Mus musculus: one gene and its partners. The protein of the gene in region 1 purifies or fractionates together with the protein of each later gene. This does not show direct contact. Links are inferred from orthologs where the notes say so. Each region holds a gene or a part of one and is shown in the gene's direction. Other genes may lie near its edges.

Region 1 (3,646 bases):
GGGGATTCAGTTATGGAGGTCAGGACAACGTGTGGGATTGCAGTCTCTATCGTTTGAGACTCAAGGATTGAGCATAGATAGTGAGGCTGGATTTTTTATTTCCGGTGAAGTAAAAGTGCTTGCAGGTTTGTGTTGTAATGTAATTCAGCTTGACAAGGAGCCATTTTGAGCATAACATGTATTTTATTTTCAGACAGTTAATTTATAATTACCCTGAACAACTCTTCGGCGCTGCTGGCGTCATGGCTATTGAGCATGCGGATTTCGCAGGTGTGGAGCGCCTCGCTCTTGTCACAGGTATGGAAAATGCATACCTTAGGAAGTGCAGTTTCCAGTACGTTACTGTGCAGTGCACTGAGAATAGGAAGAACCCCCTTAAAGAGTTGAGAGTATATACTTTGAGTTAGGCCTTTAATTTCCTTACATTGTTTGAAGACTTAGATTGATTGATTGATTGTGCATGTGGATATGTGCCCTGCTTCACCAGTGGAGATCGTAGCACTAATGTTTTCCTCTTCCTGTGTGGGTCCTGGGTCTCAGCTCAGGTTCGAACTACCTTGCTGGCTCCTCTATACCATTACAGGCAATTCTCTCTGTACTTGAGTTTCTCAGATTTTTGGGTGTGGAGTGTAGTGATTGACTGTGTATGATGAAATGACATAGGGTAGGACCCAAGTCTAAATATGAAATACATTTCTGTCAGATGTGTATACTCACGCAGAGAGATTGTCAGATGTGTATACTCACACAGAGAGGTCGTCAGATGTGTATACTCACACAGAAATGGTTTACGCAGCGCTTTTGGTTGATATGCAGTTTTACTGGCCTTTCACCTGGGCCATTTTCATTCTTACAGATGCACATTTGGGGTTTCCGTTTAGGAATGCTTAAAGTGTATGCCAGATTTTACGCGCACGCACACACATGTGTGCATGCACACACCACACGGTTTGCCATGACTCTAGAGTGATGTTTCAAGACAGTCCATTCTTTCTCACAGAATAAAGACTTTACTTTCTGGGCATGAGCAAATCTGAGCTTAAAAGAAGAGTCTCGAGTATTAAATCTTAAGTTAAACCTTAGTTTGTTTTGCTGAATGCTTAGCTCCTTATGCCCCGTGTGAGGTAAAGTCAGTGACCTTTAATGACGACATCGTGCCCTTCAGAGCGGGTCAAGTATGTACCTTGTGCTTGATTTGACATATCTTTTCTAAGTTTCTAATTTACAAAATTACGGTAAAACTATTTAAATGAGTGAATCAATTCTGTAACAGCCTCAAACCCACAGATGTGTTTCCGGTGATGTTCGCAGGTGGTGAGATTGCCTCTACCTTTGATCACCCAGAACTTGTGAAGCTTGGAAGTTGCAAACTTATTGAAGAAGTTATGATCGGGGAAGATAAACTCATTCACTTTTCTGGGGTTGCCCTTGGTGAGTGACTGTAAATCTTGGCTTAAGGACCTAAGTCCTTGCCGACCTCTGGAAGTGGGAAAAAAGTTGTAGGACTGGAGAGATGGCTCAGCGGTTAAGGACCTCTGGTTCTGAGTTCAAATCCCAGTGACCACAAGGTGGCTCACAACCATCTGTATGAGCTCTGATGCCCTCTTCTGGTATGAAGTCAGCGGCAGTGTACTCATACTACATAAAGTGAAACTTTTTTTTTTAAGGTTTCTATAGCACTGAAATAGATATCCTATAGATAGATACCCTATAGATAGATACCCTATAGATAGATATCCTATAGGTTGTCGAGATGGCTCTGAGTGGAAGTGCTTGAAACTTGAAGACCTTAGTTCCCTTTCTGGGACCCTCATGGTAGGAGGAGAGAGCCAACTCTCACCTTGGACTTCCATGCATATATGCACCCACGCACATACATGCATGACTAAGGATTATTAAGTGGACTGGATATATGTGTCTTATGAGGGCAAATATAAATTTTTTTTAATTAGGTATTTTCTTCATTTACAAATATAAATTTTGAGAGAGCCTATTTTATGTTCTGTTTCAGTGTCTTAAAGTCAGGTTGATACTTGCTGCCTTTTGAAATGTGTACATTTAGCATAGAATTTTTTTCTTCATCACTCAGAACATTTATGAACATGGATTTTTGCAGAGAAGCATTGCTACCAAAGCCCAAGACTAGTCGAGTCGTTACTTACTAAGTCGTTACTTGGAGTGCAGATGATGCTGTGGTGAGTGGCTAGACGGTCACTGATTGACGTTTCTCCTTAGGTGAGGCATGCACCATTGTGCTTCGTGGTGCCACTCAGCAAATTCTGGATGAAGCTGAACGATCTCTGCATGATGCTCTTTGTGTTCTTGCTCAGACTGTAAAAGATCCTAGAACAGTTTACGGGGGAGGTAAGCATTTCAAGAATGTTACATACTTTGTTTCTTGACAGTAGGTCCGACTTAGATGTGAACATCTTGGCTTTTATAGAAACAGAGACGGCAGAGTGCATAACAAGTTCTGGGTTACATTTGTAGGCTGCTCTGAGATGCTGATGGCCCATGCTGTGACACAGCTTGCCAACAGAACCCCAGGAAAAGAAGCTGTAGCAATGGAGTCGTTTGCAAAAGCCCTGAGAATGGTAAGCTATGAAGAGAGAGGTGAACATACATTTCATGGGCTTGATTTTAAACTGAATATATTTTTGTGTCCTAGAGAAAAATTTTTCTCTTTGCCTTTACAAAACTACAGTAGTCCACAATGTTTTATATTTTGATTCTACATTTTATACGTAATCATGAATCATTATTAAGAAACAAACAGCCAAGCAGGGTGTGGTGGCACACGCCTTTAATCCCAGCACTCGGGAGGCAGAGGCAGGTGGATTTCTGAGTTCGAGACCAGCCTGGTGGTCTACAGAGTGAGTTCCAGGACAGCCAGGGCTACACAGAGAAACCCTGTTTCGGAAAAAACAAACAAACAAACAAACCAGACAGCCAGGCATGGTCTTTACCTATAATCCCAGCACTTGAGGTTGAAGCCAGATGTGAGACCAGCCCTGTCTGTAAGAGCTTGTCTTTAAGAAGAGCAACAGGAAGCAGGCTTTCCCTGTAATTCAGCTGTCTCTCTAGGTTAGAGGCAGTGTGGTCCTTGGTGGTTATTCATCACTTTGTTTTTTTTTTTTTTAAGTATAGAATAGAGTTTATTCTGGGCATAGGGAGGGGAGTTAAGAGGGAGAGAAAAGTGGGGAGATGGAGAGAGTAGAGAAGTAGAGTCCAGCTATGACCACATGGAGGGAAGGGGAAGGGAATCGGTGGAGAGGGGGGAGCAAGGGGCAAGCGGCAAGAGTGAGAGTTGTTTGTCCCTTTCATGTTGCAGTTGCCGACCATCATAGCCGACAATGCGGGCTATGACAGTGCAGATCTGGTGGCACAGCTCCGAGCTGCTCACAGTGAAGGCCATATAACTGCTGGACTGGGTAAGAGACAAATGGACTTCTGCAGCCACTTTGGAAAGTAGTTTTCTTCAATTAGAAATAAGTCACACATACATCCACTTTGTATGTCTGTATGGACACGCACATAATGCACTGGGGTCCCACCCCCTTCCCTTTTTCTTTTCACACCTTTTCTCCTTCACTGAACCCTTTGTTCCCAGGTCCCTGTCCTGCTCACGCGGGCTATAGGCACCTTA
Region 2 (3,746 bases), on another chromosome or scaffold:
GGAAGTTGGAGTCACAAGGGACAGTGGAGAGAATGGTGAGAAGGAAGGACCCTGTACTTTTACTTGGAGAGAGTGGGATGATGGAGCTGTCAAGAACTTCAGGTAAAAAACAGTCACAAATGACAGAGTCAGGTCTCGAACAGATGGAGTGAAGGGCATAGAGTCCCAGGGGTCAGAGGCCCTAGGGTGAGATGATAGCAGTGGTGGATATATTTGAGGTAACTGGAACCAGGCTTCTTACTCTCAAAGCAGGTCACTCAATATGCAAGGAAGAGAATATGCAGTATTTTGGAGAGACCACACACTTACTGTGATCAAGAAAAAGATACGAATGCCCACATGACCATCTGCATGTACATATATGTATGTTCATGTAAATGTATGTTTTCCCTCAGGGTGCCTGCTCAGCAATGACACTTTTGTAGCAATGAATATCCAATACCTGGTTCCTCACTTCTACCCATCCACTAGCAGAAGCTAGGGCTCGTAAAATCAGGCGTCAGATCAGGGCTGGCACAGGGAAAGTATATGAGGAAACTGTCAGGACTGAACAATGACAGACACATTTCTATGGCCCGGCAGGAAGCGCCCAGGGCAGGGAGGGGGAAGTGTGCAGACCACTCAAAGGCTGTTTCAAGAAGGAATGGGCTTCAAGGAAAGGCTGCAAGGTGCACAGAAGCTAACAAGAAGGGAAGGTATCAAGTGTGAATCATGGAAAGGTCTCAGAGTCAGCGTGGTGGCCAGGCCCCCCAGAGAGTTGTGGCTCTTGTTTAAAAGAGGGTAGTGCAGGCCAAGAGGAAATAAGAGAGGTATTCACCTGGTTTTGGAAAGGGCAGAATGGGAGTGAAAAAGTCATTGTGGCAGGAGTCATATTAGTTGAAGATGGCTGGACAAATAGGCACGACGGACCAGACCGGATGGCATGTCTTAAAGATTCTGGTGGTTAATCTTGACATCTTTCCTGTCCCACCTGGCTATTCCTACCCCTCTACCCCCGCTGTCTAGAACCTGCTAGGCCGTTCACGCACGCACGCACGCCTTTCGGCCCTCCCGGGCTGGTCATTCAGGCAGGACACACCGCCCTCTGGCTTGGGGCACATGGCACAGGAGCCGACACCGTCAGGTCAGAGCCAGAGGCCACCGAGGCCGATAGGCTGCCAACGTCCCTGGAAGACCCTTGCGGGGTGTGTGGGGTGGTGGTGGGGTGGGGTGGGGGAAAAAAATCACGGGTCCTTTAAGCCTCTCGCGCACGCGCAGAGGGAAGGAGGGGCGGGGCGGAAAGAGCGGCACGCGCACGCCGCCCGTGCGCGGTGACGCGACGTGGGGTTTCCCGAGGCTGCGGGCAGGGGCCGCCGCGCCCATCCTGATGGCTGGAGGCGTCTGAGGGGCGGACGGCGACGGCGGCGGCGGCGGCGGCGGTGGCGGGCGCGGGCGGCGAGGGCAGCGGGGCTGGGACTGGAACAGCCGCCGCGCGGACCCGACCAGCCTCGCCGACTCCTGCCCGCAGGCCGCGAGCGCGACGACCAGGCGGCGGCGTGGGCGCCAGACCGGGCGAGGGCGAGGTGAGCGCGGCTGGGGTCTGTGAGCTGAGCCTGCCCCGCGCTGGGCCAGGCCCTGCGGCTCTTCTCGCTCGTGGGTCATCGGCCGCCGTCTTCATCCTGCTCTTCAGGGTTGGGTGGGCGATCCCCGGCGTGCCGGGTGGGCGGCAGGGCTGGGGTCTCGGGGTCCGGGGGGTGAGGGATGGGGCGGAGCCGCCTGGGCCGGGGCGCAGGCCCGGGCCGGGGTCTTAGGCTCAAGGCCGCGTCCGGGGTGCGGGCCCGGAGATGCGGCAACCTGGGTGGAGGTCCTGGGTTCAAGGCCAGATCTGGGATGGGTTCTGGGTTCAAGGCTGGATCCCGGATGCGGGACCTGATCTGTGGTCTTGGGTTCAAAGCCCGTGTCGGAATTCGGTTTCCAGACTCATTCATGTTCCTGGGGTCGAGGCTGTTGCGGGGGGCGGGGGGGTCTAGGGCCTGATGCGGGATCCCGGAGGTGGTCTTGAGTTTTAAGAAAGGGAACGGGATGCAGGGCTGGGGCTCGGGTCGTAGGTTCGAGCCTGGATGGCTTGCTAAGGTGGGGATGCCAGGAGAGCCGCAGGCGCTTCTTCTCGCGGCCGAGTCCCCGCGGGAACAAAAGCCGAGCTCTGCCCTCCGGACCGCGCCTTCCTGCGGGGCGTGGGACTCGGCCGGGCGCGCGGGGAGCGGACACGGGGCGAGTCTACTGGATTCGGCCATCAACCCCTGCCGGGTGCGGGCCTACGGCTACCAAGCTTCCCAGCTTCCTTCGCTGCCGGCCTTCCTGGCCCCAGGCACCCGTAAATGAATGGGCGCCGCGTCCGGTCGCCGCGACAAGATGGCGATACCCGCCTTTGTCAGCCAGGACCGCGCCGTCCGCTGCCGGGGCTGAAAACAAAGGCCGGCTCTGGTGGCCGGTGCAGAGGAAAAGGCGCCGGGCTCCTGGGTTCGCCTGATGCATCAGTGCTGGGAGGGGACGTCCTGCCCAGAGCACTCAGAGGGTGGCCTAGTCTTTCCGCGTCTCCTCCACAGCCTCGGGTTCCCCTGGGGAACTGCAGCTTGGCTTTTGACCTTTTGATACATTTAAACATTTTTTTTTTCCGGGTTTTTTTAAACCACAGGATTAGCATCCCGAAATAGCATCCCTATACGTGTTCAGCTCATCTTTAAAGAGGTTATGTCAAAATTTTTATTTTGAGAGGAGAATTAGTGGGGCTTCATTTAATTAATTAATTGTTTAGTGCATTGCTGTTTTGCCTGGATGTGTCTGTGTCTGTGTGTGTATGTGAGGGTGTCAGATTCCCTGGAACTGGAGTTAGAGTCATTAGCTGACTTGTGGGTGCTGGGAACAGAACTCAAGACCCTTTGGAAGATCAGCCGATGCTCTTAACCCCTGAACCATCTCTCCAGCCCCGAATTAGTAGAATTTATAAGTATATAAATGACACTTGTGCATGAATTTTGAAATTTCAGGTAATTTGTAGTGTTGGTTTGGTAGTAATAGTACTTTGTATTGTTATGTTTCGATCTGATAGCAGCAATCAAGCCTTTCTCTGTGTGTGGTTAAGTAGCCTGTGAGATTTACTGTTAACTAAGAAAATATGTAGTCATTCTATCATGATAAATGGAAGTGTTAATATTGTGAAAAGTTCCATTTCACTGTGGAGACTAAATGTGGTCCTCAGAGAAACCATTAGTCAGTTTCTATGTAGTTTTTGTTTGTTTGGGTTTTTGTTTTGTTTTGTTACATCTGAAGCTGTAGTGGTTTTTGGTGGTGGGAGATATTTGAAGATAAGGCTTTTAGTTTTCATGCTAAGATGTCTTCTGGATTCTTCTGGAAGGTATATTGCAAAAGGAAAATTTCTTCCGCCGGGTGTTTGGCCAGGGATGGAAATGTGAAGAGGCTTTGAGCCTCTAGACAGCAGAGCTAGGTTCTGGATAGATAGGACCTAGGGAGAGTGACCTTTTTCACAGACCTGTGCAGGAATGCAGTGCAGCTGGGAAGGCCCTGGTCTGCATGGGAGAGGCTAGACTGTAGGTGTAGGGTTCTGACTGCACGTATTTCACTTCTACAGTGTGCTGTCTTTCTTAGAAGGTGAGAGCCTTGAAAGTCAAAAGTAGGTTTTCTGAGGCTGTGTGCTCATACCTGCTGCCTGGCTCCTGGGTTTAGTGTCAGATGCTCAGTGTCAGGAT
Region 3 (3,693 bases), about 35 Mb from region 1:
GCCTGTTGTCCCAGCTACTACAGGGACTGAGAATTCCAAGCTCAAGCTTTGCAGGGGCAACTTAGCAAGGCCTTGCCTCCAAAAGTAAAAGGGGGCTGGGGGCGTGGTCAAGAGTGGAGTCTCTAATCCCTAGTGAGGGGCTGGGGGCGTGGTCATGGGTGACTTCTGCCTAGAATCCCTCGGTGAAGGGCTGGGGGTGTGGTCAGAGGTAGAGCTGCTGCCTAGAATCTCCCAGTGAAGGTCTGGGGGCGGGGTCAGTGGTGAAGCCCCTGCAGAAGATTTTCTAGTGTTCCGGTTCAAGATACACAAGAGTTCTATGCACTAAGTTTAAAGAGTCTGGTCCTTTAGGAGCCCAATCTGGATAGAGGAGGCCACCCAGTTGGCTGGTGGTGGCACTAGCATGCAAGTCTGTAGTGGGCTCTGAGCCTGACCAAGCTGCCCTGGGCTCTGTCCTGGATCTCTCCAGAGTGGGGCAGCATTGGTTGACAAGCATAGCCTGGGTCTGCTCTTCCTGGGACAGGTGTGTATCTCTCTCTCTTTCGATCTTGGGGATGTTTATCCTTCATAAGGGCATAGTGTCGCTGTCCCAGAGAAGCCACTTGCAGCCCCCACGGCTCCAGAGGCGCGCGCACAGAGATTTTTTTTTTTTTTTTGCCTAATTTCTCTCCCCCCGGTTTTTTTTTTTTTTTTGAGTGGGGGTGGGGCGGGAACACTAGGATCGAACCCAAGCCTCAGTTTCCCCAGCGGGTCTTGGAACCGAAGAAGCAGAGCAGGCGGGGGCGGCGGTGCCACCTTAAGGCGGGTCCCGCCCGCGGCTCCCAGCCGAGCCCCGCGGAGGGAGGCGGCTCCGCAGCCACTGAGGCCACCAGCGCCGACCCCGGGCGGCGGCCACAGACCTGCGGCGCTGACTGCAGCTGCCCCTGGGTTGTACAACCCCGGACGCGCTGGCTGGAGGGGGGGCGCAGCGCGGGGTCCTGGTCCCCTGCCCCGACAGGCTCTCCCTGGCTGCTCTTTCTTTGCGTAAAAATCCCTCCCCCAGCTCCGGCTTCTCTCCTAGCTTTTCCAGGCTCAGTCTCCTTGCACCCCAGCTCTAGCTTAGCACCCCAAATTCTACTGCCTGCTCCTCCCCGCACCCAATTCTCTCCCCAGCGCCACCTCTGCACCTCAGCGTCCCTTTGCCACATCCTCAAGCCTCCAAGAAGCTGGGGGGGTCCATTCTCTCACCCATCCATCAGCAGGATGTACCCTCAGGGAAGGCACCCGGTGAGTACGGAGACTCCCATCTCTGGCTGCAGGAGGTGGGGACCAGGGAGGGGACTCCTGCCTGCTGTTGCCCTGGAACTCACCCTAGTGTCCTTTCCCACTCTCCCCCTCAGACCCCGCTGCAGTCTGGCCAGCCTTTCAAGTTCTCAGTACTGGAAATCTGTGACCGGATCAAAGAGGAATTCCAGTTTCTTCAAGCTCAGTACCACAGGTGAGGGAGCCCTAGTTCTGGGCCCTGGGAAGCCCCATGGGGGTGAGCGGGGACTCTTGGAGGGGCGTGGTTTCTAGGGCAAGGGGCGGGGCTCATTGGGCCTACTGGAGGGCTTTCTGGTGGAGGTGGTGCCCAGAAGAGTGTGAGATGAATGGATTCAGGGAAAGCCTTCCCTGAGAATGTTTTGGTCCCAGGAGTAGATCTGGGCTCGAGAGGACTGGGAACAGTTTCTAAAGGAATGGGGAGCCAGCAGCTTCTGCCTGTCACTGTGGAAACTGACCCATGTGGGGTGTGGCAAGTCAACCCCCATTTTTGTCTATTCTTCCTGCCCAGCCTCAAGCTAGAATGTGAGAAGCTGGCCAGCGAGAAGACAGAAATGCAAAGGCATTATGTGATGGTAAGGAGTACCTGCCCATTCTGCCCACTTCCGTGTTCTCCCTAAAAAGGGCAGGCTGGGATACCAGGCACTGTTCTGTGGGTCTCCCCCCCCCTCCAATTTGGGGGACTACCTGATTGTCCTATCTCTCTGAGCCCATCCGTGATCCATCTTGTGGGTTCCCTGTCTGGGTCTCCATGGGGCTCAGGGTGTTTGTGTCTTGCCCTGATACTCGTACCACCCCCTCGAGGCTGCACCCCATCAGTGTCCCCAGGGTGGCACCAGCTATCCACACTGGCCAAGACTGTCTCCTTTGCAGTACTACGAGATGTCCTACGGACTCAACATTGAGATGCATAAACAGGTGACCATGTGGGGTACGGGTGTCTGCGGGGAGGGTCTAACTAAGTTCATCCACATTTCAGGTGGTCATCCCAAAGGTTCTGAGTGGATCTGAGATTTGAGATAGCCCTGAAGGTTCTGAGGGTTCAAGGATCTGAGATAGCCCTGAAAGTTCTGAGATAACTGACAGTTCCAAGGACTGGAGGTTCTGAGATAGCCCTGAAGGTTCTGAGGGCTTGAGCTTCTGAGATAGCATTTGGAGTTGCATGGTTGATCCCATGGGCTTCTGAGACTCCAGCCTATGGTGTTAGGGTTCTGAGATACACTCTATGTGGAGATTGACTTTGAGGTCTGTAATTAACCCTGAGTCCCCAAAGTGGCCAGTGGCTCTAGGGGGTCCTGAGGGTTCAGAGATCTGTTGATGAGTGGATTTATAGGTTTTGCCCCCGAACACTCATGATTCCATGCTGGAGCCCTACCCTAGGCTCCTTTCTGTGCAGGTAGATGCTGAGTGAGCCTCACCTGCCATTTGCTTCCCCTGGTTTCTGTGGGACTTGGTGCTGATGTGGGCAGCAGAGAGCTGGTCCTTACTGGTCCTTGCCTGGTGGAGGACACAGGCCTTGTAGGCGACCAGAGGCAACCACAGAACAGCCCCCCAAAGACCTGCAGAGAGCTGGGTCATGCCAGACAAACACACACTCTTTCACACAGGTTTCTAGGGCCTCGGGGAATGACCACAGTGCTGCCTTGGGCATCATCGGTCCATCTATGTTTGCATCTCTGAGGGCTTCATAGGGCGGTGGGGAGGTGTCACAGACTTGCAGGACTCCCTAGCCAGGCAGCTCCACGAATGCTCAGTCCAGCTGGGGGCTGGATGGTGGAAGTGACTGTCCCTTCCAGTGCTGGCGGCTGGATGGTGGAGGTGACTGTCCCCTCTAGTGCTGGGGGCTGGATGGTGGAGGTGACTGTCCCCCTCCAGTGCCACCCAGCTTGTTGCTTCTCTACCAGGCTGAGATTGTGAAACGCCTCAGTGCGATCTGTGCCCAGATGGTCCCGTTCCTCACTCAGGAGGTGAGTGTGCAGAGTCTTGGAGGCAGGGAGGGTGTCCTGGGCCTGGTTAGACACTGGCTGAGGGTGAGGACCAAGGGCATTCTGCCCTTCATATGTCCATGAGTGTGCATATCATGAGGACAGAGAGAGGTCAGCCTTGGTGTGTGCGCTTCCCACGGTGCCATTCTCCTTTGATTGCTTTTATTACACTTTAATGCATTTATTTAATTTTATATGTATGGGTGTTTTGTCCACATATCTGTGCACCATATGTGTGCAGTACCCTCAGAGACCAGAGGAGGACGCTGTGTCCTCTGAAATTGGAGTTACAGATGGGTTGTGAGCCATCATGTGGGTGCCAGGAATCGAACCCTGGTCCCTTGAGAGAGCAGCCAGAGCTCTTAGCCACTGAGCCAACCCATAATTTATTTTTTTTGGGAAGAGGTGCATA

What was found. The genes of interacting proteins can lie anywhere in the genome.
Region 2: the proteins of Cct2 (region 1) and Gnb1 purify together in Homo sapiens (co-immunoprecipitation; 3 studies listed by BioGRID and IntAct, with this or other methods). This does not show direct contact. The link is inferred for Mus musculus from reciprocal best matches to the Homo sapiens genes CCT2 and GNB1.
Region 3: the proteins of Cct2 (region 1) and Tle2 purify together in Homo sapiens (affinity purification with mass spectrometry; 3 studies listed by BioGRID and IntAct, with this or other methods). This does not show direct contact. The link is inferred for Mus musculus from reciprocal best matches to the Homo sapiens genes CCT2 and TLE2.

Annotation. Positions count from the first base shown.
Region 1 is NC_000076.6:117,053,825-117,057,470, reverse strand, and holds part of Cct2 (T-complex protein 1 subunit beta), read left to right. Parts: intron 1-193; coding exon 194-297; intron 298-1,311; coding exon 1,312-1,431; intron 1,432-2,235; coding exon 2,236-2,364; intron 2,365-2,490; coding exon 2,491-2,594; intron 2,595-3,331; coding exon 3,332-3,431; intron 3,432-3,646. UniProt on the Homo sapiens protein: Component of the chaperonin-containing T-complex (TRiC), a molecular chaperone complex that assists the folding of actin, tubulin and other proteins upon ATP hydrolysis.
Region 2 is NC_000070.6:155,490,019-155,493,764, forward strand, and holds the start of Gnb1 (guanine nucleotide-binding protein G(I)/G(S)/G(T) subunit beta-1), read left to right. Parts: upstream 1-1,342; 5' UTR 1,343-1,562; intron 1,563-3,746. UniProt on the Homo sapiens protein: Guanine nucleotide-binding proteins (G proteins) are involved as a modulator or transducer in various transmembrane signaling systems.
Region 3 is NC_000076.6:81,574,429-81,578,121, forward strand, and holds the start of Tle2 (transducin-like enhancer protein 2), read left to right. Parts: upstream 1-858; 5' UTR 859-1,239; coding exon 1,240-1,263; intron 1,264-1,376; coding exon 1,377-1,474; intron 1,475-1,807; coding exon 1,808-1,871; intron 1,872-2,100; coding exon 2,101-2,214; intron 2,215-2,903; exon of another isoform or gene 2,904-3,042; coding exon of another isoform or gene 3,043-3,114; intron 3,115-3,200; coding exon 3,201-3,263; intron 3,264-3,693.